Linked DNA regions of Tribolium castaneum. The protein of the gene in region 1 binds, or shares a complex with, the protein of each later gene. Links are inferred from orthologs where the notes say so. Each region holds a gene or a part of one and is shown in the gene's direction. Other genes may lie near its edges.

What was found.
Region 2: RpL6 (region 1) and RpL10 share a complex: the UniProt entries of both Caenorhabditis elegans proteins name them as parts of the large ribosomal subunit. The link is inferred for Tribolium castaneum from reciprocal best matches to the Caenorhabditis elegans genes rpl-6 and rpl-10L.

The regions. Positions count from the first base shown.
Region 1 is NC_087401.1:11,661,741-11,665,118, reverse strand, and holds RpL6 (large ribosomal subunit protein eL6), read left to right. Parts: upstream 1-1,233; 5' UTR 1,234-1,329; coding exon 1,330-1,389; intron 1,390-1,746; coding exon 1,747-2,538; 3' UTR 2,539-2,606; downstream 2,607-3,378. Other genes in the region: gamma-aminobutyric acid receptor-associated protein, read left to right, coding at 26-238, 417-614, 662-736. UniProt on the Caenorhabditis elegans protein: Component of the large ribosomal subunit.
Region 2 is NC_087395.1:15,962,468-15,965,809, forward strand, and holds RpL10 (large ribosomal subunit protein uL16), read left to right. Parts: upstream 1-1,152; 5' UTR 1,153-1,268; intron 1,269-1,391; 5' UTR 1,392-1,397; coding exon 1,398-1,420; intron 1,421-1,471; coding exon 1,472-1,777; intron 1,778-2,167; coding exon 2,168-2,498; 3' UTR 2,499-2,538; downstream 2,539-3,342. Other genes in the region: Mrgn1 (E3 ubiquitin-protein ligase MGRN1), read left to right, coding at 36-363, 508-764; acylamino-acid-releasing enzyme, read right to left, coding at 2,557-2,653, 2,703-3,342.

The DNA.
Region 1 (3,378 bases):
GCCTCGTTATCGGTTGTTGTTTTGGATGCGCAGTAGAGGAAGTTATTGCGATCGATTGTTTTGTGTCATAACAAGCAAAAGTGACCAAAGTGAACAAACGTATCGAAACCTTGTCAACGGCCCAAATTCCTGTGTCAAAACCCTCAAAATGAAATTCCAATACAAAGAAGAGCACCCGTTTGAGAAGAGAAAGTCCGAGGGCGAGAAAATCCGCCGAAAGTACCCCGACAGGGTCCCCGTAAGTATCTGCGTCATTGCACCCAAACAAAGAAGCGCCCCGTCCAGAGCCCCAAATTGGGGCCAAAGCCCCCGTTCCTAGCCCCATTTTCCCCGATTTCACCACACGTCGTCATTTGTTTTGTTTTTACGAAAATGGCGTATCAAGGTCACGTGATGTCAATTGTTTTCGTAATCAGGTGATCGTCGAAAAAGCCCCCAGGGCCCGAATTGGTGATTTGGACAAGAAGAAATATTTGGTTCCGTCGGATTTGACCGTGGGACAGTTTTACTTTTTGATTAGGAAACGGATCCATTTAAGGCCCGAGGATGCGTTGTTTTTCTTTGTAAATAACGTCATTCCGCCCACTTCGGCCACCATGGGCTCGCTCTACCAGGTTGGTAGCACTGGTGTGTGATCTAGGGGATTTACTCACGGTTTTAGGAGCATCACGAAGAGGACTTTTTCTTGTACATTGCTTACTCTGATGAAAACGTTTACGGAAGCGAGGAGCTCTAATTTAGCAACAAATGAAATTTTTATAAATCTCTGATTACAATAAAGCACCGGTAAAAGTTTAACATTTATTTTATATTACTTATAAGGCTTTTGTTTGTCTGAGTGGCGACTTTTTCTAATTGTGATAGTTGTATTGTTTATTTTTATCTTCTGATAGGGCTGAATATTCTAACACTTTTGAGTTGAATGTTACGGAAGCGCTGCTATGAAAGGAAGACGTTTCATCACAAATTTAATAAACTGATATTTAATTTTTGATGGAATTACGAAAGTATTAGATTAGGTATGTAAAAGAGATGATGTAGTTATCTAAATAAAAATATTTAAAAACCAAGACTTTTTAGTTATTATTTGTTTGCAAAAACTTCGTGAAATTGTTATCATTGTGTTAACAATTCAAATTTTTGGTGGTGTCCTTTGTTTTGTTGGGTTTTCCCCAACTGTGTAAATTTATTCTATTTTAATGGTGAAAAGCCGATCCTTAGGCCACTAACTAGTGCACATATAACTAAAGAACTAATTTTAGTGTTAAATACGATAACGAAAGTGCAATATTTTCCCCATTTTAGGAATTAAGAACGCATTTCAATTTTATGTTGGTAGTGACAAAATCACTAGCAGCGCCATCTCCTTTCACCGCAACATCTGCAAAGGTGAGTGTCTTCGAAGTGAATTTTTACAAAAATCCACAATCATCGTCCATTTTTCGTTACTTTTTTGCCCCAAAACCTTTTCTAAAACAATCGTCGGCTCATTTAAAACCCAAATCTAGTGTTATTTCAGTGAAATTGTGCCGAAAAAACATTTTGTGAGGTTATTCGTAAAAGTGTCAATACACCGTCTTACATCCGTAAAATGCCTTTAAAGTGATGATTTTATTTGCCTTAGGACACTTCTGAAGACTGCAGTGTCGAATAACGTGAATCTGACCACTTTTGTGAAAATTCGCCAACATAACCCCAGATTTCGGCAGTCACACGTTGCACTCATAACCCAGTGTGTTTTTTCAGATGGCACCGACAGCGAAGGCTGCAAAGCAGGAAAAAAAGCCGGACGATAAGAAAAAATCGTCGAAACCGCGCAACTACGACCTCGGCAATGGCGTAATGCGTTTTTCCCGCACCCGCATGTACCATAAGAAAGCCCTTTACAAGTTCATGGGCAAGAAAGTGAAGGCCACTAAAAAACCGGCGAAGCCAGCTTTCGTCACGAAGCAAATCGGCGGCGACAAAAACGGCAAGGAACGCAAGGTTTTCCTTAAGAAACGCCGCAATTATTACCCCACTCAGGACAAGATCCGCAAGCACCCGGCGAAGAAAACGTTCAAGCAACATAAACGCCACTTGCGCTCGACTCTTACTCCCGGCACTGTGTGTATCCTTCTCGCGGGCTCGCACAAGGGCAAGCGGGTCGTGTTCTTGAAGCAGTTGCACTCGGGGCTGCTGCTGGTGACGGGGCCCATGCAGATCAACTCGTGTCCCTTGAGGCGGATCAGTCAGAGATATGTTATAGGCACGCAGACGAAAATCGATGTTAGCGGTGTGAAAATCCCGGAAACTATCAATGATGAGTATTTCCGGCGCAAGAGGGAGAAGAGGGCCAAGAAGGAGGAAGGGGATATTTTCCAGGCCAAGAAGGAGGCGTACAAAGTGAGCGATCAGAGGAAAGCTGACCAAAAAGTAGTCGACAAGCAAGTCTTTGAAGCTATTAAGAAGCACCCCGATAGGAAAGTTTTGTTGGCTTATTTGTCGGCTATGTTCGGGCTGAGGTCGTCGCAGTACCCTCACAGAATGCAGTTTTAGATTAAGTACCATGTTTTATTGATTTAACTGTAAAAAATTGACAATTCAATAAAGGATGGTTTTCTATACACACAGCCCACATTTATTTTTCTTACTAAAAAATCGGTTTATGCTACGGAGGTCTGTACGGTGTCCTACCGACTTGGTAATATTTAAAGTTAAATATCTTTCAAGTAATCAGCACTTGAAAGACACTTAACTCTTATTGTTTTTGGATAGACAGTTTAAAGGTCTTTTAAATGTAAAAATAAAAAATAGTGTTCCATTTAAAATTTTTAAGTTATTTAACTTTTAACAAACATTTTTTTGATCGAAATGACTAAGAAAAAATACATTCCTAAAGTTTAAACATTTTACTTGAAAGTGGTGAAAGTCCAATTTTTGTAGTCTTAGTTTTTGAGTAATACATTTTTAAAATAAGAGTGTTTTCGTTAAAATACTTAAAAAACCAAGGAAAATAAACAGACATTAGTTAAGTCAAAATTATTAGTTTTAAAAGCTACATCAAAAATGCAAATAAATTACAAAAAAACAACATGTATATAGAAAGTTAGTCTCTACGGCTTAGGAAAATTAGTAATTTTTGTATTAAGTGCGCGAAATGAGTGTTTTTTTAATGGCGCCTGAGAATGTTATTTTAGTCGAGACCGCCAGGTCGAGACCTAAAAGACATTCGAAGGCGCCATTAAAACATGAATTTCGCCACGAAATACAAACAACGTTTTTTCTACAGCCTCCAGATGAAGAAAAAAGTAACAGAAATTAGTTGGAACAAAATGGTCTGATAAATCGAGTTGCTTGCATGGTTACGATGATAAATAAAAGTGATAGTTGCGAAAA
Region 2 (3,342 bases), on another chromosome or scaffold:
TTCTGTAAGTTTGCTGTGATTTGGTTTTTTTTTAGTATGGGGTTTTGATGACGACTCGTGTGGAGGAGGACACTAAGGAGACCCCCAAATGTCCCCTCCTTGAGCAGAAAATTTCAAGTCCGCGTCTGAAGCACCGCATCCACGATGCAGTTAAACACGTTAATGAGAAGTCTGAAAAAGATGAAAATGGTGATGAAGACAGTGATGCTGAAAAACTGTCTCCTTTGTTGCAAAACAGCGAAAATCTGAGAAATGGGAGTTTGGCGTTGAATATGGTGGATGTGGTTGAGCCTATTGATGATACAGACACGGATCATGAAGATATTGCTTCAAGGCCGGCTTCGGAAAAAACAAAAACATATCGTAAGTGACTTATGAAATTTTATTTTTCGTTTTTAAATGGAAGAGTCAAGTTTATTTGCAAGCTTGACACTTAATCAGGGTTGGTTTTAAATAAAATTTTAATCTCTCTGTTTTAAGTTTGCGGCATAAATTAATTTTTTTAAGGGAGCAATGGTGAAGAGCGAGGAGACGAGTCTGATTATTACACTCCTGAAGAGCCAGCCCCGACTCCTGGGCCACTATACGAGAGTACTGGTGCTACTAGTTCTGTTGAAAGTACTCCGCAAAAATTACCGGGGACGCCGATGTCGCATGCTAGTGCTAGAAGTAGTGGGGATAGCTATACTAGCGGGTCAAGCACTAGACATTTGTTGGCTGTTGTGGCTCATAATGGGTTAAATGAAAGAGCTGTACATATTTAATTATGTACATTTTAATTTTATTGGTAATTACGGGCACACAATTATTTTATTTGTATTATTTGAGCACGGTTTTACCAGTTTGTGACTTGACATTAGGTAACGAGATTCATTTTTTTAACCAAAATACTCATTTGTGATAAATTGAGGCATTTAAACGTCCCAAATCAATGGATTTTAATGCGGAAATATCGAATTTTTCATTTATGTATATATTGTGCAGTTGTACCTACAATTTAGTCTTAATTAACTCTACAGGTTTGGATAATCAAGTAATTTATATTTTAAAGGTGATATTGGTTTTGTATATAATTTGTTAAAATATATGTCTATCAAATAGTTTTATACTTATTTTCCCCCTTACAATAACAATTTTTTTTGTAAAAAATATGTGGAGCTGAAACGATTTGAATAGTTGGGGATTTATTGTTTTCGTTTCTTTTCGCTTTAGGTTGGCACAGCTGGTTGTCAACCTCTTCATTGTTGTCCTCGTCTCACGTCTACTTCGTAAGTAAATTTCTGCTAATATTTTAGTCATCTTCCACTATTTCGCCACAAATTTGCTACCAATTGATTCATTGTTTCGTATTCTTTACGAATTGAATAATAAATTTGGTTATTTCGTTGCAGATCAAGATGGGTAGACGTCCAGCGAGATGGTAGGTTACTTTCCCATAACCAAACATTTCTGCTCACAGTTTTTTTTCCAGTTATCGCTACTGCAAAAACAAGCCGTACCCCAAATCGCGTTTCTGTCGCGGTGTCCCCGACCCGAAAATCCGTATTTTCGACTTGGGCAAGAAGAAAGCAACAGTGGACGACTTCCCACTGTGCGTCCATTTAGTCTCCGATGAGTACGAACAGTTGAGTTCGGAGGCTCTTGAAGCTGGGCGTATTTGCGCCAACAAGTACCTCGTCAAGAACTGCGGTAAAGACCAGTTCCACATTCGCATGAGACTCCATCCGTTCCACGTTATCCGCATCAACAAGATGTTGTCATGTGCTGGAGCCGATAGGTGCGTTGATGATTCACGTCGTGACTTGCATTATTACAAGCTTGCTTATTTTGCATTGGTTGTCTGCCTTTTTCGTGTTTTCCGAGTCAAATTTGAAAGGGTTCTTGTACGAATGAACTGAAATTTTGCATACTTACGTTATCTGCAGTCTGGTGTTTTGCAGGATAATTGTTATTGTTTTTGAGATATTGTGATGTTCTTGGTCTGTTCGCTTTAATTCATTATTTGGTTAATAGTTTTATAATTCAAGTAATGAAATACTAAGAAAAAACAGCAGTTTGACGAGAAAATCGTTTTGGGTGTGAAAATGTTTGATATTTTGAACATTATTTTTTCTTTTTTAGTGCATTTTTTAAATAAGTTTGTTTTTATTTTGTTTTTGGTGTTTAGGCTCCAGACTGGGATGAGAGGAGCCTTCGGGAAGCCCCAAGGCACCGTCGCGCGAGTCAACATTGGCCAGCCGATCATGAGTGTGCGATCTAGCGACAGGTTCAAGGCCCAAGTCATTGAGGCCCTGCGTCGTGCGAAGTTCAAGTTCCCCGGACGCCAGAAAATCTACGTTTCGAAGAAGTTTGGTTTTACGAAATATGACCGCGAAGTGTACGATAAGTTGAAGGAGCAAGGAAGGCTGGCCCCTGACGGTTGCAATGTTCGCTACAGGCCCGAACACGGCCCCCTTGACGCATGGAAAAAGGTACAAGAAGAACTACTAACTGTTTGATTTGTACGTTTTTATTTCTGAATAAAAAATACACGGTAAATATTTTTTTCACTTAAACCTAGAGATGTTCCTGGAACCATAGCAATGAATTTATCAAGTTGTCCATTTCGTTAGGAATTTGGGCTAGGGGGTGATTATCTTCGTATAAATTCATCCTGAAACACAATATCAGAAAAAAAAAACAAAGTCGTGTTAGTTACACACTTAATTTTAACCCCGTTTGCTTTCAATCTGTGGTAGTACTCCAGACTTTGGTGTGGGGGCACCCGCAAGTCCTTGCACCCCACTTGCAGCATAGTGGGCGCTTTGACGTTGTGCGCATGCTCGATGGGCGAAGCCTTGCGCATGGCAAGTAGCGCGTCTTGGCTAGGTTTCCCAACCTGGGTGTACTCGAAGCCAACTTCGACGTAACACCAGTCGGGAATGTCCGAGATGATGCTCATCGAGGCGACATCAATGACCGGATTGCGGGCCACCACAGCCTTGAACATGTCCGGGTACTTCCCACTCAAATACGTGACGAGGAAGCCGCCATGGGAACCCCCGAAAAGCACCACACCGCCAGGGTTCAACCACGCGTACTTCTGCAGTGCGGTTTGGGTGGCGAGAATGCAGTCGGAGACGTCCGATTGGCCGATCTTGCCCGGGAGGAAGTTGACGCTGTCTTGTCCGGCCCCGATTGAGCCCCGATAATTGACGAAGACGATCCCGAATCCGAGCGAGAGGAATAGCGAGGATTCGAGGGAGAAATTGTTGGCGAAAGCGCTGTGGGGGCCACCGTGCGGCCAAACCACCAGATTCACTGATTTTGCAGGGGCGGTTTTGGGGCCCAAGTAAATGGCAG